Macaca fascicularis: one gene and its partners. The protein of the gene in region 3 purifies or fractionates together with the protein of the main gene of each other region. This does not show direct contact. Links are inferred from orthologs where the notes say so. Each region holds a gene or a part of one and is shown on either strand. Other genes may lie near its edges. The genes, in order: ARRB1, ARRB2, IGF1R and PCNA.

Region 1 (3,828 bases), on a different chromosome or scaffold from region 3:
AGCTGGGATCTGAGGCCCAGGTCCTAGTGGAGCAGCCCCCACCCCCTGCCCAGTTCAAGCCTCCTACCTCCTTATCCAGGGAGGCCTCTAGGTGCAAGGGCTTGTCCGACATGAGGAACTGCCTGGTGGTCTCGGCTGTGGGCTGGGGGCCAGGCCTCTCTGGGGCATATTGAACCTTCCGGATGACCAGACGCACAGAATTCCTAATGGGGATGGATGGAGTGAAAGAGGACCAGGGTCACCTGCCTTCATCCCCTCTCCTTGCAAGCCTCACATCATTCTCCTGCTCAAGAGACTGGCATGGCTCTTCAACGCCTTAGAATCCAGCCAAACTGCAGAGATCAGCATAGGGGTCTGTCACTATCTGGCTCCATTCCATCCTCCCCTGTTCTATCCCAGAAGTGCCCCGTGGCCGCACTTCATTTGGGTCCTGGTACCCAGCAGGAGGCTGAAACAGGGACTACATTTTCACCTCCTGCTTCCCTATGTCACCAAATAGGTAACAATGTCACTTCCCGCCTCCCTATGTCACCTTACACAAATAGTGTCCCTCTGTCATCTCTTTTGGTGACACAGGACACTATTTGTGTAAGCTCTTTAAGGACAGAAATTTGTGTCTAAGGTGTTCACAACTGTACTCTCAGCACCTATAACTGTGCGTGCCATATAATAAACACATGCCAGATATCTATTATGTAAAACTACGCAGAGGGGACAGGGGTCCCAAGAAGAAATGGGGTTTGGGGAGGCGTCGGGGTTCAGGGAGGAGGTGTGGATTCAGTCAGGGGGATGCAAGCCAGTGAAGGGGACAAGCCCAGGGAGGGGAGAAGGGCCATGGATGAGACTGGCTCCACGAAGGTTACAGGGGATCAGGGAGCAAATGAGGATCTGGTGAGGGAGGGAGACTCAGTGAGGCCGTCTCTGAGGCATGCTGGGAATGCTGCATCTCCATTGCTCAGATAAGCTGCTTCCATTGCCTGGAATGGAGGAGCCAGGGTCAAACTCCCAGCTCTCCTCTTGCTAACTATGTGGCCTTGGGTACATTAACCTCTCTGCCTCCATTCCCTCATCTGTAAAGGGTGATGATAGAAGGACCTATCTCTTTTTTTGCTTTTTAAATTTTATTTATTTATTTATTTTGAGGTGGAGTCTCACTCTGTTGCCCGAGCTGGAGTGCAGTGGCGCGATCTCAGCTCACTACAACCTCTGCCTTCCAGGTTCAAGCAATTCTCCTGCCTCAGTCTTCCGAGCAACTGGGATTACAGGCATGTGCCACCACACCTGCCTAATTTTTGTATTTTCAGTAGAGATGGGGTTTCACCATGTTGGCCAGGCTGGTCTGGAACTCCTGGCCTCAAGTGATCTGCCCGCCTTGGCCTCCCAAAGCTCTGGGATTACAGGCGTGAGCCACCGCGCCTAGCCAGGACCTAATTCTTAGAGCTGCTATGAGGATTAAATTAGTTCGTACAGCCCAGCACTGTGAATGGTGCCTGACACCTAATCAGCCCTTGATAAATGATAGCTTCTATATCATTATTATTAGTAACTCCTTGGTGTGGATTTTAAATGTCCCATTGGTGGTAGGGTGAGAGGGGTGGCTCTCAATGTCACCTCCTCTTTCTTGTGCTTGCTAAGCCTCCTCCCACATCCCACAGCACCCTTCCTTTTCCCTTGTCTCAGGTCTTAAGAGGAAAAGGGAGACAGAGAAGCAAGGGAGAAAAGTCCCATCTCCCCACACACAGGCAGGGCTGCAGATGCAAATGTATGCAATACACCCTATAGCCACCAGGTGGCAAACTCAGCCCATGCCCTAAAAAGGCTGCTGTGCCCTCAGCCAACCTCCTCTGGGAACAGTGCCTCTGGATGCAGGAACATCAGCGTTGAGGGCCCACCAGCTCTTCCAGGAGGCAGGCAGAGCACAGCCTGACCCAGGAGGGGCAGGCCTGAGACATCCGGGCCAGCTGTTTCTGGCTGCCAGCCTGGGCTCTCTGTCTGCCCAGGCTGTGCTTCTCTGGAGAATGCTTCCCCTCTCGGATGTGGGCCGAGCTCCCTGTCACTCTGCCCTGGATGGGTTCACTATCTCCACTTCCTCCTCACTTAGAAGCTGCCATTGACACACACTCAACCCCTGCTGAACTCCTCCCAAGAGGAAAACTGGAAAATGGGGATGGTCAGGAAACAGCCTGCTCACGGTTTAACACAATCTGAATTTAGGATTTTTCCAAAACAAATTAAAAAGACATGCAGTCTGGAGGGGATGAAATGAGAGGCAGGGAGATGAGGGAGGAAGCTTCCACAACGGTGCGAAGGAGAAGATGCGGCAGCCTGAACCTGGGCAGTCAAAGCCACCTCCCCCAGGAAGCCCTCCGTGACCTCCCAGCTTCCAGAGTGCCCTTCCAAGGCTGGAATGTGCGCCCCTCCTCACACACTTCCAGGTATTGTTACTTATCTCCTCTTGGACTTTGCCCATCCTGTCTCCCTCCCTCACCCAGCAGGCAGCCCACACCCTGGCATCCTACTCACCGCTTGTGGATCTTCTCCTCCAAATTCTCCGCACAGAAGGCTTTGACTTCATAGTCCACACCGCAAGCCTGTGGGGAAGGGGTCACTGACCACAGGGCCTTGGAGAAGCAGGGTCCCCAGTACACAGCCAGCCTACCTCTCATTTTACAAGCGAGGACACTGGACAGGAACACCAAGCTCCCACAGCCCAGCCCTCCTCGGTCTGGAAGAAGCAGGGGAACGCCCTTGTGCTCAGCCCCAGTGCTGTGCTGCCTCCTCCATCTGACATGGGACATCCCAAATCATCCAAACAGGGCTCTGCTCTTTGGACTCCTGCCTCAGTCTGGGTGGCCATCCTCATCCAGGCAGCTGCCCAGAAATAGCAACAGGTACCTGAGCGGACTGGGGGCACCTACTACTACTGTGTGCAGACCTGGCCCTGGGTGGCTTCTCCGGTATCCCTCTAATAAGACAAGGAGGCACGTGCTGTCATCTCCATCTTGCAGATGAGGAAGCTGGGCTCAAAGATCTGCAGCTAGTGGTGTCACTTCTATCCAAGCCTCAGTTTCCCCATCTGTGACATGGGGATGATCACACCTTGATTCAAGGTTGCCAGGGGTTACGTGAGGCCAGGTGTAGGTCCTCAGAACACTTTGGTCCTGTTGCAACCAACGCCACTCAGGAGGGCCTCTGGATCCATCACTTAATGGGAGAGTGAGGCTGACCCCATACCTGCTGCCCTGTCTAAAGAGAGACTGGTTGTCCAAGGTGGGACCAGCTTAGCCTAACACTGTTCAACAGGGAGAGTGGTTCTGTGTGTCCAGCACCTCCCAGGGAGAAAGCCAGGGACCTGGGGACCTGAGAGTCCTGGAGCCAGAGAGATGGTCCCCTTGGGGTAACCTACCTTCCCTGTGTCTTCGGGCCCCGGCTGCAGTGTCACAGAGCATGGAAGGTTTGGAGGGATCTGTCAAGAAGACAGAACGAGCCATCTATCACATCCACCACTGTCCTGTCTCATGTCTTGCAGCCCAGACACGCCCATACACCTATCAGACCAAGGGCCCCAGGGGACAGGCCATGTCTACCCCATCAGACCATGCCAACCCATGCCCCGCAAGTGTCTGAGTTTTCTTTATCTAAAGAGTTTGGCCTAGCCCAGTTCTCACAGCAATGGTTTAAATAGATCTTTCTATGATGTCTACTGTAGTTGGCAGAATAATGGTCCCCCAAAGATGTCCACACCCTGATCCCCCAAACCTGGGACCTTAACGACAAAAGTGACTTTGCAGATCCAATTAAGGCCTTGAGATGGGGACAGTATCCTGG
Region 2 (4,394 bases), on a different chromosome or scaffold from region 3:
GGCTCACTGCAACCTCTGCCTCCCAGGTTCATGCCATTCTCCTGCCTCAGCCTCCCAAGTAGCTAGGACTACAGGTGCCCACCACCACGCCCGGCTAATTTTTTGTATTTTTAGTAGAGACGGGGTTTCACTGTGTTAGCCAGGACGGTCTTCATCTCCTGACCTCGTGATCCGCCAGTCTTGGCCTCCCAAAGTGCTGGGATTACAGGTGTGAGCCACTGCGCCTGGCTGCTAATTTTTATATTTTTAGTATAGATGGGGTTTCCCTATGTTGGCCAGGCTGATCTCGAACTCCTGACCTCAAGTGATCCGCCCGCCTCAGCCTCCCAAAGGGCTGGGATTACGGGCTTGAGCCACGGCGTCTGGCCTGTATTTTGTAGTTTTTTAGTAGAGACAAGGTTTCCCCAAGTTGGCCAGGCTGATCTCCAACTCCTGACCTCAGGTGATGCACCCGCCTCAGCCTCCCAAAGTGCTGGGATTACAGGCGTGAGCCACCACGCCCGGCCTTAGGTTGCAGTGAGCCAAGATTGCGTCACTGCACTCCAGCCTGGGTGACAGAGCAAGACTCCATTTCAAATAAATAAATAAATAAAAAATAAAATAAAATAAAACTACCCAGTGATGGAGGTCCTAATGTCTCTATTTTCCAGGTGAGGAAACTGAGGCAGAGAGAGGTTAAGTGTTTTAAGGTCACAGAGAGAGTAAATGGTGGGAATTAATAGAAACCAAGGCGGTCTGGCTCCGAGTCCATCCTCTCAATCAATATTACACTATCCGTCTCTGTAGCTGGCATCAATAGTTTGTTCAATTGAAGGGTATTCGCTTTCCAGTTGCTGAAACAATTTAAGCCTGGACTCCACCCACTGCTGGGAGGGTAAGGAAGTGTTTGGCAATCCCAGTGATCTGGCCAATTGTGAGCCTATTCTTTGAAGCATCACCTTACTCCTTCCAATCCACTCTGCCTCAGCAGTGATCCCTGGAAAGGATCCTCAGATAGACAGCAGAACGTGAAATCCTGCCAACTAGCCCATCCCTCCTCCAACTCTACCACCCCATTCCCAGAGGACCCCAATGGGCAGGTTGCCGCAGTATCTGGGTAAGACTTAACCATCTTTCCATCTGGTCTACAGCTCTGACAGCTGGAGCATATAGGAGAGCAATGACTCTGGCCTTTGGCCCTAAATGGTTTCTACCATAGGCCCAGTTTCTGCTACAACTTCACTTGTCCCTTCTTCCCAGAAAGCCAAGCTGTCCAAAGATTATAAGGTAAAGGGTATGGAGGCTCCCAGGTATTCCTAACCAATAAAAGAGAATAAACATCGATACGGTGGCAGCTAGAATAAACATCCTATCTTTTGTCCCAACTTGGGGGCTGAGTGCTGTGGCATCATCCAGGCTCTCCCTCCCCTTTGCTTCTGGTTTTCCTCTTTGTCCCAGGGTGTCCTCCCATTAGGAGCCCTGGCACAGGGCTGTGACAGCCACAGTCAGTGGGCCAACTGCAGTGTGGCTCTGGGGCAACTGCCCTGGAGCAGCTGCAAGGCACCTGCCCTTTGGATCCTAACCCAGCCACCTCCTGCCAGGCTGAGGAGGAGCAGCGTGCAGATACTAGGCTGGCCAAGGAGGCAGAGTGTGGGGATGACCAGGGAGGTGCCCAATGGGGGCAGGGGTAGCTGAAGCAGATGTCCTTTCACACTTCCTGCTATTCTCTCCATTTCCTGTGGCCCAGAATTTGATGGAGGTGAGGGAAATTGGGTCAAGTCAGCAGTCCCCTTTGGTCCATCTGTCCCACTCCTTGAACCACATAACGGAAATCAGGGGCCTCCCACAAGGCAGCAACTTCCCCTTTCTCTGGGATGTTTAAACCCTAATCCAGGACACCGATCATCTCTCTGATGATCTCTTTCTGATACTCATCTACTTGACGCTCAGAAACCTGGGTTCTCCTACTCTATAGGTTGGAAGTGGGGTCGATATGATGCTTTGCAGAGCAAGCCAGAGCTCAGGACCAATTCCCTATTCCCGATCCCCTCTGGGTTGAGGCCTACAGCCCCAACCTTTCTGTCTTTTGCTCCTGCTCCCCTGGGACTCAGGCATTCACCCCTTACCCCTTGGGGGTGTTGAGTCACAACAGGAAGTGGATTTTGCTAGAGACCAAAAAAGAGAACTCGGGGTATCAGTGGAAGGAAAGAGCCTCGATTGCACAGAAAACATCCGGGGAGTGGACGCGCGCCCAGCGTGAATACTGCCTCCCCCACCCCCAGGGAGAGGGATCCGATCTAGTTTCAGGAAGGGTCAGGCTCTCCCAAGATGAAGCTGTTGTTGCTCCTGGCAACCCAGGGGAAGGTAGAAGTTTGGATGAGGAGCCACCCGGCCCTCGGGACAGGTGTGGGCAGCGCGACTACCTGGGGGATATTGGACAGGAGGCTTTGCATTGGCTTGGCACGAGTCTGGAGGGGATCCCCCTCCCAGCATCCAGCCTCCCCGTACACGACCCCTCGGGGCCAGCCACCTGCTCCTCCCTCCGTCCCTGCATCGCAGCCTGCCCAGACTCCTGGGCACGGGAGAGCCCAGTAGTCTGGCCCCACATCCCTGAGAGAACCCCGACACCGGTTTTTCTGATCCCCCTCCGGCCTCGCTTTCTGCAGGGGCCCGGGCATTTCCCCCCAACCTCATTATCCTCGAGGACCTGCGCGTGCGGCCCCGGATGGCTGTCCCTAGGGACCCAGGCGTCCGGCCCCCAGATCCTCTCCGCGGCGTCCTCGTCTGGGACCGTCCCAGCCCCCGCCCCGAGCCGCCGCCCATGCCCCGCCGCGTGGCCCCACCTCCCTTACCTGGTCCCGGGTTTCTCCCCCATGGTGCGCGCGCCCGCCGCCCGCTCGGTTCGCGGCTCGCTCGCAGCCTCCTCGCCCGCTGCCAAGATCCCTGCTCCTCCCCGCGCCAATGCGCACGCGCGCCCTCCGCGCTCTCGCCTCTTCCCCCTCCCTCCCGGCCCGGCTCTGGTCTGGGGGAACCGGGGCCAGATGCGTCAGCCGGATCGCGCGCGCCGCGGCGCTGCCCGCCCTCTCCTAGCAGACACACAGGGCCATTGGCTCCGCCCCCAACCCTTCGCGTTCCGTCCCAGCCGGGGAGCCCTCCCCCGCGCGCGGGGCCCGCTCCCGCTCTTCCCGCCCATCTCCCCGCCCCGCCGCAACCCCTTGAAACCGATTGGGCCCCCCTAAACCAAGGCTCCCGCCTTCCAGGGGATCTAAGTCTTTCGATTGGCCCTCGGCATCCAGAACCTTTAGGGGTCTCCTCCCCTTTGTTTGCTTTCTCAGTGGCGGTGGGGGCGACCGGGCTGTTGGGGGCGGTGGAATGAGCTGAAGCGCCGTCTGGGAAGGAGGATGGTGGGGGGGAACACGTGGGTGAGCAGTTCAATTGCGTGATACTTGCTTCAGTGCGCGCAGCTCACCTGCTCCACGCGGAGCGTACCGCCTTCTGTGGCCAGCCCTCCCGCTTCTTCACCGCAGCGTGTCAGCTCCTCCTGGTGTCTACATTTGATTTTCGCAGGGTTCCCTTTTCCAATGTCTCTGACTCTCCATCTCCTTCACCCACCCATCCCAGCTAACATCCACTCACTCACTCGCTCGCACCCATCGGTCCATCTATCGACCCACCCATCCGTGCCTATTTTATGCTATTTACTATGCCAATCGATGGGGACACATATGAATTACCATGGCCCCTGACTTCCTAGAATAGTTGAGGAGACACATACACAGGTATTACCCAGGAATGCTATTACAGAGGTCTGAGTCAGAAGACACAGCCACTAACAGCGCTCGGCCCGGGCGGGGGTGGAGCGGAGAACATATGAGGACAGTCTTTCTGAAGGATGTGCAGAAGTTTTTTTTCGTTTTCTTTTTTTTGAGATAGAGTCTCGCTCTGTTGCCCCGGCTGGAGTGCAGTGGCGCGATCTCGGCTCACTGCAACCTCCGCCTCCCAGGTTCAAGCACTTCTCTGCTCAGCCTCCCGAGTAGCTGGGATTACAGGCGCCTGCCACAATGCCTAGCTACTTTTCATATTTTTAATAGAGACAAGGTTTCATCACGTTGGCCTTGCTGGTCTCAAATGCCTGACCTCGTGTTCCACCCGCCTCAGCCTCCCAAAGTGTTGGGATTACAGGCGTGAGCCACCGTGCCGGGCCGGGCAGAAGTTAAGACAGGGCATTCCAAAGAGAAAGACAAGGCACATCCTGTTGTGTGGTGTTGGTGGGGAAGCCTGGAACAGGTTGTGGAGGATTTTGTATAGCAGATGAAGGAGCGAGACTGAGGGCCCCGCAGAAGGACACGAGGAACCAGTAGTGGTTTTTAAAGCAGAGGGGGCCGCGTGCAGTGGCTCACACCTGTAGTCCCAGT
Region 3 (4,380 bases):
AGAAAAACAGCCTATTTTAAAATGCCCGACTCCTGCGTCGGAGAAGGCCATCCCTGCTATTTTGAATTTCAGAACATTAAAAACACAAAACTAGAGAAGCTCTACAGTTTAACTGCACACCATAATAAAACGGATTATTTCTCCCGTGTCTTCTAAACCGTACTTATCATTTAAAGATAAAAAACCCTCCTTTGTCCCCCTCAAACACCACCTAAACGACTTAGTAAAGGGAGCCGGAAGGCTTTCGCCCAATCGAGTCCGCTTAAAGTTTAGAAAACAAAGAGCATGAGAGCCCAGATCTGTGCAAGGTCCGGCCCCAGTCCGCGTCCCACTCGGCAGTAAACACGCGAACCACGATCTGCTCTCGTTCTGTCGCGCACTCATTTCTTAAGAGACGTTTAAGGATTTGTTTATAGAAACAGCCTTTCTGAATTGCCCCAGTGATGGGGCCAGACAACCTCCGCTGCCTCCTACTTCTCCCCCTCACTCTTGAAGGCTCAGTCGTGATTTTTTTCGAAGTTAATCGGCACCACCTGCATACCCTCGGCTACCATTACTCACCAACACGCCCTCACCGTTCCCGATCCCAGTTCTGCGACATTTAAACTTTTAATCGTGTTCAAATTACCCCACTATCTTGAATGTACCAGTAAGCCACACTTTCAATTTTTTGAGAATAAACCCCCCACCTCCTGTGGCTGTACACACTGGGGGGAGTTCCCACTCCCTGCATCCCCGCGCTTCCCTACCTACCCCTACCCGACACCACCAAAACAAAAGCTATCAGGTTGCAAAACATAGCGAGTATGGAACGATACTGCTTATTAACTGCGTACAAAGGAAGTGCGCGGCGGCAGAAGGGAGGGCGACACGACGCCGGCCACAACAAAACCAAGGCCAGGGCTCCGCGCTCGCAAAACACAACACCCTTCCCCCACCGCCGCAGACCCTGGCGCTCCTGAAACCCACAGCGTAGGACACCTCTCGCCAGGGACGGGCGTCTCGGTGTCCCCGTGAGGCGGCGACTACACCCCGCGCTGCGAGCACGTGTGTCGGAATGCACGTCGGCTCCGACCACACACCCACCAACGCACATTCGGATGCGGCCCTAGCACCCCTCCATGCCCCTGCCCGGGAGAAACTGAGAGGCCATCCCAGAGCCCTCTGAACTGGGGGCCCAGTGGCGCTCCCCGTAAAAGACAAGCTGAGGAAGACTCCCGGCCTCGCACTCCCCGGGGAGCTGCCCAGAGAGCGCTTCCCCTCACCCCACCGCCCAGCCCCGGGACGCCAGGGGCAGGTAACCCAACGAGGAGCGGGCCAAAGTAACGGGCAAGGCCAGGAACCCTAGGAGCCCGAGGGGAAATGCATGTTGGGCGACGGGAGGCAGCGCCAGGCGCTTGGAGACGTGTCCTGGGGCTTCGGGGCCTCTCCGCAGGGCACCTCCCCCCTCAAGGGCAACTCGCACCCCGCGGGCCGGGCGGATGCCTGCTCCCCACTGCCGGATCAGCCCCAGCAGCGGAGACGCGGTGCGGCCCAGGGTGCAGTCCCCGCTGCCTTCGCGCCGCATGGGATCAGCGCTATGTGCGGAGAGGCTCGTGCGCTCCGGAGGGGCGAGGTGCGGGTCGCGGGGCCTGGGAACCCTTGGTGCCCGCCCCGGCACCAACTTCCCTACCGAGTCCTCGAGCCTAGCCGGGGGACAGGACTGTCGGCACGACTAGAGAGAAAGCCCCTCAGGCCCTTCCAGCACGGGGGATGTGCGGAGCCAGGGCCCGCTGGGCTCCAGACGAACGAGCCCGGATCCCAGGTCCGCCGCAGCCTCCCTCCCGGCAGAGCCACCCCGCGCCCCGCCCCGCCGCTCCCGAGCCCGGGGGCCCGACAGCTGCGACGGTGGCAACTCGGGTTTCGCAAACAGGGCGCAGCCCCTCGAAGGAAAAGTTCCCGCAGTGGCCGCGGGCGGCGGGCACATACTCACTTTCTCCACTCGTCGGCCAGAGCGAGAGCGCGGCGGAGAGAAACAGGAGCCCCCACAGCGAGGTCGGGGACCCTTCTCCAGAGCCAGACTTCATTCCTTTTATTTGGGACGAAATTCCCCTTTCTCAAAAAAAAAAAAAAAAAGAAAAGAAAAGAAAAAGAAAAAAAAAGAAAGGAAAGGAAACAAGTCTCAAACTCAGTCTTCGCTCCCCCTCCAAAAACAAGGACGAAGGAAACAATACTCCGAAGGCGGTGCCGCCGGGGCCCTCCGGGTGCGCGGACGGGGCGGCCCCTCAGCGCCGGCAGCAGCGGCCCAGGGCTCGGCGGAGTCGGCAACTCGAGGCGCGCCGGGGCGGGCTGTCGGCGTCGTCGGCCTCCATTTTCAAACCCGGAGAGGCAGGAAAGGGGGAAAACTGCAAAGAAAGGGGGCAAAGCCCAAATCTGCCTCGGCGAGGAAAAACAAGCCCGGCCCTTGCCGCGCGGGAGGTGGCCGGACGCCCGAGCCTCCGCCGCGGGAGGGCGCGACGCAGTTCGCAAGATCGCCCCAAGTCCGGGTCGCAGGCGAGGCCGGCGAGGGGCAGAAACCCGGAGTCAAATGAATGAGCGGCTCCCCCTCCTCCTCCTCCTCCGGGCTCCGCTCGCCGCCGCCTCCTCCCTCAGCGCCGCCGCCGCCGCGAGCTCCTTCCCAAATCCAGGACACACACAAAGCGGCGGGCCGGCCGCGCCGCGCTCAGCACTCCCGCCGCGCCGCCCGGCTCTGCGCCGCCGCCCGCCCCGCGCTGCCCCCGCCCGGCCCCCGCCCGCCGCCGCCGGCTCTGCGCGGGGGCTCCGGCTCGCTGAAGGTCACAGCCGAGGCGAGGCGCGCCGTGGAGCTGCCCCCGCGCGGGAGGGGCGTGGAGGGCGCGGGGGGGGTCCGGGGAGCGGGGCCGAGGGTCTGCGAGCGCCGGCCGCGGGCAGGCTCGCTGGCGGCGTCCCTCTCGCTCTCCCGCCTCTCTTGAGTTCGCCTGGTGCGCTCGCTCCTCCTCGGGTTTTTTCCCTTTTTTTTTCCGCTCAGCGGAGTTAATGCTGGTAAACAAGAGCCCCAGCCTCGCCGCGCCGCCGCCGCCGCCGCCGCCACACACTGGGGGCTCGCGCGCGCGCGCTCGCCCGGGTCCGCGCACACGCGCCCGCTCGCACACTCGAGCGGCCACCGCCGCAGCAGCGGCGCGCCGAGGGCCCGGCCCAGGCCGGCACGAGCCAAAAACCGGAGCCCGGGATCCCCGAGACGTGCGGAGCGGAGCCCAGGCGTGGGGCGCGAGACTGCAAGCGCCGCCCCCATGTCCCGCCCCGCCGACTCCCGCGCGCGCACAGAGACACGCGCGCGTGCCCACCCGCTCCCGCCCCCACCAGTGCACCACTGCGCCGGCCACCCCGCACGCGCCCTACCCTCCCGCCCGACTCCAAAAACAATGCCCCCGCCGCCGACCCGGTCTCGGCGGGGCAGGGGTGGGTAGGCAGGGAAAGGTTAGGAAGGGGAGGGGTAGGCAGGCGAGGGGCGGGGTGGGCAGGCGAGGGGAGGGGTGGGCGGGGAGTGCGGTGCTGGGAGAGGTTCATTGAAAACAACAACAGCGCGGCTGGAAAGCGCGTTTCCCTGGTTCTTGAAAAGCTTCATTGTTCCTTGCAGCTGTTGCAAAATAAATAAGTGCGTGCATGCGGCATTTTTTTCGCTATGTACTGGAAAGCCCGAACGTGGCGGAAGGGGCGCACCTGGGAAAAAGAAGACCCCCCCAGGCTACTACGCTGGGCACTTTCACGCCAGGCTGGGGCACCCGCGGCGTTGAGACCGGGGAGCCCGGAGTTGCGGGGAGCGGAGGGGGAAGGGCGCGGCCCGCGTGGCTCGACCCGGAGTGGCGCGAGGAGACAGGACCCCGCAGCCCCCCGGTCGGGCCCCGCGCCCCGGAAGGGGGGCTCAGACAGGCGGCCCCGCGTGCCCAGGGCGCGTCCCCGCGGCGGCCGCCAGAGGGCGCGGCGGGCGCCGGGGAGGGCAGCACGCGGAGAGTCGCCTCCCTCCCTCCGGGGGAGGAAATGTGGGGGCCCGGGCTGGGGACCGACTCGGCTGGGTCGCGCTGGCGGGGCCTCCCGGACCAGCGGCCCGCCCCGAGCGCTCTCAGCGGCCTCGCGCGGCTCAGGGCTCCACCACGTGGGCGGCTGTGGGGAGCGGCCGGGGCGCGTGCACGCTGCGGGGCTCCGAAGCTGGGGGGCGTGTCCGGGGCCCCGAGAAGGGGGTGGAGGCTGGGGCCGGGAAGCCTCCCTTGGCTGCGGTCCCGACCCGGGAACAGGCGGCATGCACTCGGGATCAGCGGCTACTGCGAAAACCCAACCGCACCTGTCTTGAGTCCTCCCGGGCACGTTCCTCTTGCTTCGTTTGCT
Region 4 (4,334 bases), on a different chromosome or scaffold from region 3:
ATGACACTTACAAATCAGTTGCAGATTTCAACAGTATCTCAATTTTCAGAAATTACTTGGGATCCAATTCTGTCTACTTTTAATTTTAGCAATTAACCTAATAAGCAGTATTACAATTCTCTTCAAACTATTTTTTTTACTTAAAAACTACTTACAGCTTCCTCCTCTTTATCGACATTACTTGTCTGTGACAATTTAATGTTTCCATTTCCAAGTTCTCCACTTGCAGAAAATTTCACGCCGTCTTTTGCACAGGAAATTACAACAGCATCTCCAATATGGCTGAGATCTCGGCATATACGTGCAAATTCACCAGAAGGCATCTTTACTACACAGCTGTACTCTTGTTCCTATTAAGAACAAAAATTTTCCAAAAGTTAATTGTTAGAAATTTAATGATTTGGCACCCTCACTTTCTTAAAAGGCAACATCTAAACAACTCAGAATCAAGATTTTCTGATTACTGACTCGTGTAATTTCTTAACAAACTCCACTCAAAAAAAATAAATGGCTATTAAATGCACTGCCCAGGGAACAAGCGCCTCCTCCTCCTCATCCTCCAGGGATAAAGTAAGAGAACATTAGAGTATGCCACAGAAATGATGACGGCGCAAGCAGGTCTAACTATTTTCTAAAAGAAAACGAGAGAATATGATATTAGGCATTTTCAACATTCCAACATTTCTTCTCTCCTTTGGTGTTTATAAACCTAACCTGGATACATTTCTTCTAAGATAGCTTTCAAACCCACTTAATAAAAACCAAGCATCGGGCCGGGCGCGGTGGCTCAAGCCTGTAATCCCAGCACTTTGGAAGGCCGAGACAGGCGGATCACAAGGTCAGGAGATCGAGACCATCCTGGCTAACCTGGTGAAACCCCGTCTCTACTAAAAAATACAAAAAAAAAAAAAAAAAAAAAAACTAGCCGGGCGAGGTGGTGGGCGCCTGTAGTCCCAGCTACTCGGGAAGCTGAGGCAGGAGAATGGCGTAAACCTGGGTGGCGGAGCTTGCAGTGAGCTGAGATCTGGCCACAGCACTCCAGCCTGGGCGACAGAGCGATACTCCGCCTCAAAAACAAAACAAAACAAAACAAAACCAACCATCCTAGAAGGAAGCAAATTTTAAAAGAGGTTCATGGAAATTAATGCAAATAGACAACTGGCAGTAAACAATAAATTTAACCAGTGAGTTTTAGACTTGTGGTAAACAACTATCCAAATACTAAAATCTCTTTAAAACATGCACCAGTAGATATGTTTCTAGAAAAAGTTCTGTTATGAAGTAGGCTTAAATTATATTAACTTATCTTGACGGAGGAGGATCATTGAGGCCAGGAGTTCCAGACCAGCCTGGGCAAGACTGCCCCCACACCCACACACAAAAATAAAAAAATTAGCCAGGCGTGGTGGGACAGATCTGTAGTCCTTCCTAGCCACTTAGGAGACTAAGTGGATTGCTTGAGCCCAGGAGTCCCAGGTTACAGTGAGCTATATGGCACCACTGCACTCCAGCCTGGGGAAAAGAGGAAGACCCTGTCTGTAAAAATAAACAACATTCTATGACATAACTATCATGCCTGTGTACAGCAGTCGCTACAATCAGAAACTGATACTCACTGGAATTCCAAGTTGTTCAACATCCAAATCCATCAACTTCATTTCATAGTCTGAAACTTTCTCCTGGTCTACCAAAAAAAAGCAAATGCTGTTGAGAAACACTGGCACAGAGTTTCGATCTTCTGTAGCTTCATAACTCAGTAAAAAGGTACGACTTACTGGGTGCTTCAAATACTAGCGCCAAGGTATCCGCATTATCTTCAGCCCTTAGTGTAATGATATCTTCATTGCCGGCGCATTTTAGTATTTTGGACATACTAGAAGACAGGAGACACATGGTTTAAAATCAACACCATCTACTGAAGGTCTGTATTTCTAATGCAGTTAGAAGGGGTTACCACTCTCACCCATAGGCCGTCTCAGAACTGGTGGAGGGTAATTGCACTGCTGGAGGATGCGAATATTAATGCAGACATTTTGGGATGCATCTGGCAGTATTTATACTAAAATACCACCAGCAGTTTCCCTTCTGGATAGAAACAATCTCCTGCCACTAAGTAGGATGACAGGCTGACACTTTTCTCGCAAGGGCACATTATAAAGCATTTAAAGTCAATCGCGACTGAGCCGGGAGGATCGCCTGAGCCCAGAAGTTGGAGACCAGCCCGGGCCAACACATCGAGACCGTCTCGGAAACAAAAAAGCCACAACTAAAGCGTCCATTCAAGGCCAACAGGATTTAGTGAGCAAAAGCTCTGGAGCAGTGTTCCTGGCACTGCAGAAAAACCAGTCATTTTCCCGCCACCACCCGCTTTGTGACTTTGGCGCGAAAAAGCAGGTTCGCGCAGCAGCCAGCGCGGGCTTTTCCGAACCGCGCGCTCAGCTGGGCCCCACCCCCCTGCATGGCAGGCCAATGAGAAGGTGCGGATGGTCCACGCCAGCCAATGAGGGCTCGGCTCGGAAGCGATCCCGCCAAACCCCGGAGGTGGGGGTGGGCCGGGGCCGGTTTCTCGGCGCCGCGAGGCTCACCTGGTGAGGTTCACGCCCATAGCCAGGTTGCGGTCGCAGCGGTAGGTGTCGAAGCCCTCAGACCGCAGGGTGAGCTGCACCAAGGAGACGTGGGACGAGTCCATGCTCTGCAGATTTACGCCGCTGGAGCTAATATCCCAGCAGGCCTCGTTGATGAGGTCCTTGAGGGCCTCCAACACCTTCTTCAGGATGGAGCCCTGGACCAGGCGCGCCTCGAACATGGTGGCGGAGTGGCAGCAACGCGGCTACAGGCAGGCGGGAAGGAGGAAAGTCTAGCCGGTTTCCGCTTCAGGAGCCTCAGAGCGAGCGGGCGAACGTCGTGACGAGAAGCTGAGACCTAGAAACAGAACTACCAGTCTGCTACGCCTGCAACCGTTTAATGCCGCCGCGTCCGCCAGCGCGCGCTCTTACCCTGCGCCGCGTTGCGACGTCACCACGCTGCCCGGCCCACAGCCTGGGCGGGTTAGAATTTAGGGCCAATCGTGCCGATGCTCCCCGCGAGGCCCGCCCCCTAGGACATACATTGGAGGAAGCGGGTGCAGGGCGGGGCAGCGTCCCGCAGGTCTCCCCGCCTCTTCGCCTGACTCCTGAACCTGACCACTGAACAAGTCCGGGCATATGTGGGGATCCGGCCCAGGCCCCGGTTCGTCAAGCCCCAGCTTTATGGTGCCTCCTCAGCCTCCAGCTCCGTGGGTAGAAAGTTTCCAGCCACGAAAGTGAAAGTGAAAAGCAAATCCAGCCTACCGGGAGGAAAAGCCTCCTTGTAGCCTGAAGAGTACAGCTGCTGCAAATATGCACTTTATTTTTCAATTACAGAAGTGATGCGCTCCTAAGTGTCACACCATAAAGAGTTATGTTAAACTTAGCTCCCTCTCACCTCTTAACATTCCACTGCCAGCTCTTATAATCACTCAATCGTTCCTTGTATAAAGCTTTTAAAGCTTTTTTGAAAGTTCGAATACACTTTTTTTTTTCAAAATGCACTCATTCCGTAAACACTTCGAAAAAGTACTTAATAAAGTACATTTAATTTTATGCCACGTACATCTTTTTTATATCAGTACCTCTTTAAAAGATAGCATCACATGTATGTAACTTATCAATCTCCTGTTAATTACAAACACCTTTGAGCACTTAGGCAATTTTGGTGCTATCAACTCCTTGAAGTAATACAGCTGAGTCAAAGAGCGTACACATTTAATTTTTTTTCTTTTCTTTTCTTTCTTTCTTTTTTTTTGAGATGGAGTCCTGCTCTGTCATTCAGGCTGGAGTGCAGTGGCGCGATCTCGGCTCACTGCAACCTCCGCCTCCCAGGTTCAAATGATTCTCCTGCCTCAGCCTCCCAAGTAGCTGGGATTACAGGCGCCTACCACCGCGCCCGACTAATTTTTTTTTTTTTTTTTTTTTTTTTTTTTTTAGTAGAGACGGGGTTTCACCATGTTGGCCAGGCTGGTCTCAAACTCCCGACCTCAGGTGATCACCCGCCTCAGCCTCCCAAAGTGCTGGGATTACAGGCATGTGCCACCATGCCCGGCTAAATTTTTGATAAATGTTACTAAATCTCTAAAAGTTTGCAATTTACATTCTAGCCAAGACTGTGTATGAACATGCTCATTTATCTTTATTTTCCTAACTACAGATATTAGCAATCTCATTTTTTAATCATTGCTCATCTGTGTCAAAAATTCAATTTTTTTTTTTTTGAGACGGAGTCTTGCTCTGTTGCCCCGGCTGGACTGCAGTGGCACT

The links.
Region 1: the proteins of IGF1R (region 3) and ARRB1 purify together in Homo sapiens (affinity purification with western blotting; 3 studies listed by BioGRID and IntAct, with this or other methods). This does not show direct contact. The link is inferred for Macaca fascicularis from reciprocal best matches to the Homo sapiens genes IGF1R and ARRB1.
Region 2: the proteins of IGF1R (region 3) and ARRB2 purify together in Homo sapiens (affinity purification with western blotting; 4 studies listed by BioGRID). This does not show direct contact. The link is inferred for Macaca fascicularis from reciprocal best matches to the Homo sapiens genes IGF1R and ARRB2.
Region 4: the proteins of IGF1R (region 3) and PCNA purify together in Homo sapiens (affinity purification with western blotting; 3 studies listed by BioGRID, with this or other methods). This does not show direct contact. The link is inferred for Macaca fascicularis from reciprocal best matches to the Homo sapiens genes IGF1R and PCNA.

The regions. Positions count from the first base shown.
Region 1 is NC_088388.1:74,142,979-74,146,806, forward strand, and holds part of ARRB1 (beta-arrestin-1), read right to left. Parts: intron 3,467-3,828; coding exon 3,407-3,466; intron 2,592-3,406; coding exon 2,524-2,591; intron 204-2,523; coding exon 68-203; intron 1-67. UniProt on the Homo sapiens protein: Functions in regulating agonist-mediated G-protein coupled receptor (GPCR) signaling by mediating both receptor desensitization and resensitization processes.
Region 2 is NC_088390.1:4,804,581-4,808,974, reverse strand, and holds the start of ARRB2 (beta-arrestin-2), read right to left. Parts: upstream 2,826-4,394; 5' UTR 2,803-2,825; coding exon 2,669-2,802; intron 1-2,668. UniProt on the Homo sapiens protein: Functions in regulating agonist-mediated G-protein coupled receptor (GPCR) signaling by mediating both receptor desensitization and resensitization processes.
Region 3 is NC_088381.1:83,518,426-83,522,805, reverse strand, and holds the start of IGF1R (insulin-like growth factor 1 receptor), read right to left. Parts: upstream 3,087-4,380; 5' UTR 2,067-3,086; coding exon 1,973-2,066; intron 800-1,972; exon of another isoform or gene 562-799; intron 1-561. Other genes in the region: uncharacterized protein, read left to right, coding at 3,661-4,355. UniProt on the Homo sapiens protein: Receptor tyrosine kinase which mediates actions of insulin-like growth factor 1 (IGF1). Binds IGF1 with high affinity and IGF2 and insulin (INS) with a lower affinity. The activated IGF1R is involved in cell growth and survival control.
Region 4 is NC_088384.1:82,160,746-82,165,079, reverse strand, and holds the start of PCNA (proliferating cell nuclear antigen), read right to left. Parts: upstream 2,967-4,334; 5' UTR 2,807-2,966; coding exon 2,586-2,806; intron 1,874-2,585; coding exon 1,776-1,873; intron 1,685-1,775; coding exon 1,617-1,684; intron 351-1,616; coding exon 156-350; intron 1-155. UniProt on the Homo sapiens protein: Auxiliary protein of DNA polymerase delta and epsilon, is involved in the control of eukaryotic DNA replication by increasing the polymerase's processibility during elongation of the leading strand.